Linked DNA regions of Oryctolagus cuniculus. The protein of the gene in region 1 purifies or fractionates together with the protein of each later gene. This does not show direct contact. Links are inferred from orthologs where the notes say so. Each region holds a gene or a part of one and is shown in the gene's direction. Other genes may lie near its edges. The genes, in order: UBE2O and NAP1L4.

Region 1 (3,802 bases):
GCAGCTGAAACTGGAGGACCGCTCCGTCGTGCCCAGGGACGTGGTCAGGCACATGCGATCCACCGTGAGTCTGCCCACCCCACGCTGCACGTGCAGGAGAGCTTGGGGTTGTCTGGGTGGGTGTCCCATGGTGGCCTTGGCTTGGACGCCTCCTCCCTCCCCCAGGACAGTCAGTGTGGCACCGTGATAGACGTCAACATTGACTGCGCCGTCAAGCTCATCGGCACCAACTGCATCATCTACCCAGTCAACAGCAAGGACCTGCAGCACATCTGGGTGAGCTGCCCCCCCCCCGGCCCCCGGCGGCCTCTGGCTGTCAGCGCAGCCACTCTGTGCTGCCCCTCCCCCCGCCCTCGCCAGGCACTGCCTCCCCAGGTCAGGTGGCAGGCCTGTTTTGCTTTAACACTTAAAATACATTTTTAAAAAATATTTATTTATTTGAAAGGCAGAGTTACAAAGAGAGCGCGAGGGAGACAGAGAGCTCTTCCATCCACTGGTTCACTCCCAAAATGGCCGCAACAGCTGGAGCTGGCCTGATCTGAAGCCAGGAGCCAGGAGCTTCTTCGAGTATCCCATGTGGGTGCAGGGGCCCAAGCACTTGGGCCATCCTCCGCTGCTTTCCCAGGCCATAGCAGAGAGCTGGATCAGAAGTGGAGCAGCCGGGACTCGAACCGGTGCCCATGTGGGATGCTGGCCCTGCAAGCAGAGGATTAACCTGTCCCCATCTTTTTTTTTTTTAAAGAGTTAGTTAGTTAGTTAGTTAGTTAGTTGACAGGCAGAGTTACAGAGTGGCAGAGGCAGAGAGAGGTCTTCTATGCACTGGTTCACTCCCCAGATGGCCACAACAGCCATAGCTGCACCGATCCAAAGCCAGGAGCCAGGAGTTTCCTCCAGGTCTCCCACATGGGTGCAGGGGCCCAAGCACTTGGGCATCTTCCACTGCCTTCCCAGGCCACAGCAGAGAGCTGGATGGGACGTAGAGCAGCCAGGAGTCAAACTGGCGCCCATGTAGGATGCTGGCACTGCGGGTGGCGACTTTACCCGCTGTGCCACAGCGCCAGCCCCCCCATCTTTGTTTTCCAGGATTTATTTTTAAACTATTTGAGGTTTCCCACACGTTGTAAGCTCCTGGCCCCGCCTCACACAGGGGCCTCACAGCTGTGCTCATCTCTCTCCTCCCCCAACCTTCCTGTCCTCTGCTTTCCCCTGAGACATCTGAGCAGACTGCAGCCAGTGCCCTGTCGCCCCAGAACTGCACAGCGTGCATTCTGCAGACACAGGGCGCGCTCCTGGCAGCCTCCTGGTGGCGCTGACATCACCGCCCGTCCCGCAGCCCGCTCTGCCCAGCAACGCCTGCTTCCCCTTCTGATCCGGGCCCCATTCAGAATCATTCTGCATTCGGTTGTCGGCTCCTGGAGCTCTCGGGCCTGGAGGGGCTCCCTGGTCTTCCCCTGTCGCGGATCTCCTGGCAGCGATAGCTGGTGGCGCAGCCGGCCTCGCCCGGTGCATGCCAGGCGCGCTCTGCCCGTGAGTCCCTGGCCGCACCACTGGGAGCGAACATCTGCTCTGACCCCTGGTGGTGCCGTAGCCTCCCTCATAAAGTCTCCATTACCTATCTGTAAGTGGTTAAGTGTGTGGGGACAAATTCCAGGATGTGTCATCACCCCTCACCCACACCCCAGCCCCGGCAGAACCGGCCGTCTCTGGTGCCTGCTTGGTTGCTCCCTTTTCATGTCCGTGTGGAGCCCGAGGTCCCTGGATCCTCACGGGCTGTAACCCGTGCCTGCCGTCATCTGCTGCCTTAATGATCCAGACCTGGCCAGCGCAGCTCCTCCCGCTGGCTTTTCCGTCTGTCACGCTTCGTTATCTGCTTTCCTTCTGTGTTTAAAGTTCTTTCTTTTTTTCTTACACCACGAGCTCTCCGAGCTCATGTTGCATTTTCTTCTGATCCAGCGCTGGGATCGGCTGTTTCTTCTTTGCGAGGAGAACGTTATCTTAGAGACCGAGATGTGGGTGCAGGGTGTGCTGACTGCGGCCAGGCCTCCTAGAACAGCTCCAGGGGTCCTAGCCCGCGTCTGCTGACGCAGCGGGGTGCACTCTGACACCCCTGATTCCAGTTCCCCCCCTGCACGCTGCCTCCCTCTCTCCCCGAGTCGGTGAGCACCTTCAGCACCGAGAAGCTGGGCTCTTGCTGACCTCATGACACCTGCCCAGTGACTCAGGGTGCTCCGCAGCCTCCCTGCCACACGGCTGCCCTCTCACCAGGCGTCCTGGGCCAGGGGTGCACAGGCCTCTGCGTCGTTCTCCCGTCCCCACCACGTCTCGGCCTTCGCTGGGAAGGGGAACCGGGACGTGGCCCAGAGCTCTCGGGGAGGCCTGGCAGCAGGTGTTAGGACAGATGTCCACCTCCCTCCTCCCCTGGCCCAGTGGGTGCCCTGGGCATCAGTGTCACCTGCTCCTGCCCTGCCCCTGTTCCCTTGACCTGCAGCCCTTCATGTACGGGGACTACATTGCCTACGACTGCTGGCTGGGGAAGGTCTATGACCTGAAGAACCAGATCATCCTGAAGCTCTCCAATGGCGCCAGGTGGGTGTCTCTCCGCCTGCCGGGAGGAGGGGAGGCGGGGTGTCCCTGTGGGGCCAGACCTCGTCAAGGGGAGTGACAGGTGAGGAGGAGGGCAGGCGGGGTGTCCCTGTGGGGCCTGTGGGGCCAGACCTCGTCAAGGGGAGTGACAAGTGAGGAGGAGGGCAGGCGGGGTGTCCCTGTTGTGGGGCAAGACCTCGTCAAGGTGCTGCGGGCATTTGGGCTCTTGCATCCCAGAGCCAAACCCCGTGCGCTCTCCTCATCTGCTGTGGCCCGGTTCTGGTCCCTTAGCTTGAGAAGCATCATCCTTTAGATCTCTCCCGGGAGCTGCTGGAGATCAGTCCAGGTCTCCCATGTGGGTGGCAGGGACCCAGTTACTTGAGCCAGGACTGCTGTCTCCCGGGTGCATGAGCAGGAAGCTGCAACAGAAGCAGAGTGGAACTTGAACCCGGGTATTGCGGCACGGATGGCAGTGTCCGCGGCACCAGACGCCTGCCCTTGCCCCAGTCTGAGGCACCCGGTGAGGCGTAGGGTTTTGCACCAGCTCAGAGGCTGCGCCGCTGGCAGAAGATGAGTCGTGTACCCGTGGGAGTTCTGGCCCCTCCGGATCACCACTCTTTGAAGATTCATTGATTGGAAGGAGTACAGACAGGAGAGAGGTCCTCCATCTGCTGGCTCACTCCCCAGAGGGCTGCAGCGGCCCAGGGCTGGGTCAGGCTGAAGCCAGGAGCCTGCAGCTGCATCCAGGTGTCCCCCATGAGTGGCAGGGCCCAGGCACTTGGGCCGTCTCCTGCTCCTTCCGTTAGCAGGGAGCTGGATCAGAAGTGGGGCAGCCGGGACTTGAACCCATGCCCATCATGGGAACCAGCTTCACCGGCAGTGCAAGCCACCGGGCCCCAGAGCCGCCCCGTCGCCACTCTGGCACTTGGCCGTGTGCCCCCTGGTGGAGACCACGCCTCTCTCCACTGTTTCAGGTGCTCCATGAACACGGAAGATGGTGCCAAGCTCTACGATGTGTGCCCGCACGTCAGCGACTCGGTACGTGTGCTCTGCCCAGGGTGCTCAGGACGGAGCTTTCTCGGCAGGGAGCGTGGAGCGGCCCAGGCTCCTCAGCAGAGTGGTTTCCTAGAAAGGGGCAGGTGTGCGCCGAGCGCCCGGAAGTTGGGCAGGAGTTGCAGGACTCCGAAGTGCACCCTCTCAGGGGTGCGTGGTTCCACCT
Region 2 (3,802 bases), on another chromosome or scaffold:
TGTCCCCAGTGGTGGCTTTACGTGCTGTGCCACTGCGCCAGCCCCGAGTGCAGGGTGCTGTTGTCCTGGACCCAAGGTTTGTCCTCTTCTCCCTCACAGCCCAGAATGTAGACTCGGGTTCTGCCAGCACGGAGGGGCCCACTGCCTGTGCTGCTCTCTCTGTAGGGCTGTGCAGGCCTCCCGTCCACTGAGGGTGGGGCCCACTGCCTGTGCTGCTCTCTCTGTAGGGCTGTGCAGGCCTCCCGTCCACTGAGGGAGGGGCCCACGGCCTGTGCTGCTCTCTCTGCAGCGCTGTGCAGGCCCCCGTCCACTGAGGGTGGGGCCCACGGCCTGAGCGCCTCTCTCTGTAGGGCTGTGCAGGCCCCCCCGTCCACTGAGGGTGGGGCCCACGGCCTGTGCTGCTCTCTCTGCAGCGCTGTGCAGGCCTCCCGTCCACTGAGGGTGGGGCCCACGGCCTGTGCTGCTCTCTCTGCAGCGCTGTGCAGGCCTCCCGTCCACTGAGGGTGGGGCCCACGGCCTGTGCTGCTCTCTCTGTAGGGCTGTGCAGGCCCCCGTCCACTGAGGGTGGGGCCCACGGCCTGGGTGCCTCTCTGCAGCGCTGTGCAGGCCTCCCGTCCACTGAGGGTGGGGCCCACGGCCTGTGCTGCTCTCTCTGCAGCGCTGTGCAGGCCTCCCATCCACTGAGGGTGGGGCCCACGGCCTGAGCGCCTCTCTCTGCAGCGCTGTGCGGGCCCCGCCCACTGGGGGTGCTTCTCTGATTCTAAGCGGTGCCCCCCTGTTTCTGCTCTGTAGTCTTTTGTGTTAGAGTTCCACTTTGAACCCAACGACTACTTCACCAACTCAGTCCTGACCAAAACGTACAAGATGAAGTCGGAGCCAGACAAGGCTGATCCCTTTTCCTTCGAAGGCCCTGAAATCGTTGACTGTGACGGGTAAGAAATGTCGTCTTCATTTCTCTTTTGTCCTAAGATTTCTTTATGCGAAAGGCAACATTACAAAGAGAGGGAGAAAGAGCTTCCATTGCTGGTTCACTCCCTAAGTGGCCACAATGGCCAGGACAGAGCCAGGAGCCGCCTCTGGGTCTCCCATGTGGGTGCAGGGGCCCAGGGACTTGGTCCATCTTCCACTGCTTTCCCAGGTGCGTTAGCAGGGCGCTGGATCGGAAGTGGAGCAGCCGGGACTCGAACCTGTGCCCATATGGGATGCTGGCTCAACCCATTACGCTGCAACTCCAGCCCCTTCTTCATTTCTTTTTCTGAAACAAAAGCAAGGGATGATTTTAGAACTTCACAGGTGAGGTAGAAATTGGCAGTTATTAAAAGTCTTGACTCTGCTTAAAAGCCTAGTAGACAAGGACTTAAATTAAGCAGCCGAGGCTGGCTGCCCGTGTGCAGGCCCCTCACCAGAGAGAGAGGCCGTCTGGGCGCCGGTGCCTGAAGCTGTGCAGTGGAACTTCAAAGTTGCTCCCAGCACACGAGGGGTCAGTGCAGGCCGTGTTGGTCCAGTGATTGCTTCGGGAGTGCACGGTGCAGCACAGCCATCGCTCACCGTAGGTCAGCGATGGTCTGCGTGGACCCCAGGGGCAGCATTTGTCTGGAGTTAATTTCCCTCAGTTGTTTGGGAAATGGTTCTGTCTTTAAATGGAAGTCATTGCAGACCTGGACTGGAGTGGCCGGAGTGGTCTGGGAAGACCACCGCCGTGAGCAGTTGTGTGGGTGCTGCCAGAGCTACCTCTGTCCCCAGGCGTCCACGCGGGCGTCCGTGGGCGTCCGTGTTCGCCGGGGCCGCCTCGACTGCTGCAGCTCGTCCCGCTCATGCGGTTGCCTGGAGGATTTGGATGCGGTGGCGGTAACCGCGGGCCTGCTGTGATCACCCGGCAGGTGGCGAGCAGCCTTGGGGCCCTTAGCGAGGCGTCCTGGGGAGGCAGCGCCCACCGTTTCAGGGTGCGCTCCAGGCAGCGCGCACGCCCCGGGAAGGGGCCCAGGCTGTTGCTGCAGACCCAGCCTCAAGACGCGTGGACGGGTCTCACCCGATGCCGGTTTCCATGGAGAGCTGAGATTTCTCCGTCTGCCTTTGGGACGTCTCTCAGGGAGTGTGTCCCTGACAGCTGCCCTCTGTCGCAGGTGCACCATCGATTGGAAGAAAGGAAAGAACGTGACGGTCAAGACCGTCAGGAAGAAGCAGAAGCACAGAGGCCGGGGCACGGTCAGGACGATCACCAAGCAGGTGCCCAGCGAGTCGTTCTTCAACTTCTTCAGCCCCCTGAAAGGTGCGTTGCTGACGTGCGCTGTGCGCACCCTGGAATGTTCCAGACCCACCTCAGCCGTATCCTGTCCTCAGGGTGCTGGCCGCCGCGTGGTGTGGGGCAGGGTTTTCTAGAAAGTAGGAGTGGCGTTGTCAGCCCCACTGGGAAGGGAGATCTTGACTCACCTGGACACAGAGTACCCGCGCCCCAGGACTCTCCCCCTGTCCTTGTGCCTGTGCCAGGCCCCCCAGCGTCCTCGCGGTCACTGCTACACAGCCTGTCAGCCGTCTGTCCAAACCCTCTTTGCTCCTGAGGTCAGTTCTGTTCTGCTTCTGTGTGCAGGGGTGGAGTGCAGGATTTTGCAGTTTACAGATGAAGGTGTGTGGGAAGTCGGATTTAAAGATGGGGCCTTTGAACTAGTAAAGGTGGGGCAGCTGAGTTATTTACTTATTTTTAAAATTCATTTATTTATTAGAAAGTCCACTGGTTCACTTCCCAGGTGGCTAACACATCGAGGGCTGGGCCAGGGCGAAGCCAGGAGCTTCTTCTCGGACTCCCGCATGGGTACAGGAGCCCAACCACTTGGGCCATCCTCCACTGCTTTCCCAGGCCACAGCAGAGAGCTGGATCGGAAGAGGGGCAGCCAGGATGCAAACCTGCACCAATATGGGATGCTGGCACCATGGGCAGCGTGTACCACAGTGCCAGTCCCAACTTTTTTTTTTTTTTTTTTTTTAATTTTTTTATTTTTTGACAGAGTGGACAGTGAGAGAGAGAGACAGAGAAAAAGGTCTTCCTCTGCCGTTGGTTCACCCTCCAATGGCTGCTGCGGCCAGTGCACTGCGGCTGGCGCACCGCGCTGATCCGAAGGCAGGAACCAGGTGTTTATCCTGGTCTCCCATGGGGTGCAGGGTCCAAGCACTTGGGCCATCCTCTACTGCACTCCTGGGCCACAGCAGAGAGCTGGCCTGGAAGAGGAGCAACCAGGACAGAATCCGGCGCCCTGACTAGGACTAGAATCTGGTGTGCCGGCGCTGCAGGTGGAGGATTAGCCTATTGAGCCATGGCGCCGACCAAGAGTAAATTTCTTGACATTCTTAATGTAACTCTCTGATCATGATAAATACGTATAGCAGGCCACGTAGCAGTGTTGCTATGAAGAAAAACGTTATTCTCCATGAACAAAACAGTCTGATGTAGACCAGCCCTGGTGCACACGATCCGTGCCCAGAGAGGTTGTGTGGGGTCAGCAGGGGGCACGCCTCCCAGGCCTGCTGGGTCATCTTCGCCCTGTTCGTCTAGCTGCTGCTCAAACTTTAGTACTGGTGGTTCTCTGTGATTTGATTTTGAGCCTAGAAGATGCACAAATACTGGTTTGGGGCCAAGAATAGCCATAAGTTTGGGGAGATCTTTTGGAGTTGGCATTGAGCATATTGGCGGTTTACTGGCTTCACCAGCAGGTACACATGGGCTTTGGTGTGGTTTTTGTTTGTTTGAAAGACAAAGTGTCAGAAGCGTTAGAAGACAGAGAACACGAGATCTCCATCTGCCGGTTCC

Evidence for each region.
Region 2: the proteins of UBE2O (region 1) and NAP1L4 purify together in Homo sapiens (affinity purification with mass spectrometry; 3 studies listed by BioGRID, with this or other methods). This does not show direct contact. The link is inferred for Oryctolagus cuniculus from reciprocal best matches to the Homo sapiens genes UBE2O and NAP1L4.

The regions. Positions count from the first base shown.
Region 1 is NC_091448.1:4,358,606-4,362,407, forward strand, and holds part of UBE2O ((E3-independent) E2 ubiquitin-conjugating enzyme), read left to right. Parts: intron 1-4; coding exon 5-64; intron 65-165; coding exon 166-276; intron 277-2,488; coding exon 2,489-2,586; intron 2,587-3,557; coding exon 3,558-3,621; intron 3,622-3,802. UniProt on the Homo sapiens protein: E2/E3 hybrid ubiquitin-protein ligase that displays both E2 and E3 ligase activities and mediates monoubiquitination of target proteins. Negatively regulates TRAF6-mediated NF-kappa-B activation independently of its E2 activity.
Region 2 is NC_091432.1:788,742-792,543, forward strand, and holds part of NAP1L4 (nucleosome assembly protein 1-like 4), read left to right. Parts: intron 1-792; coding exon 793-932; intron 933-2,123; coding exon 2,124-2,269; intron 2,270-3,802. UniProt on the Homo sapiens protein: Acts as a histone chaperone in nucleosome assembly.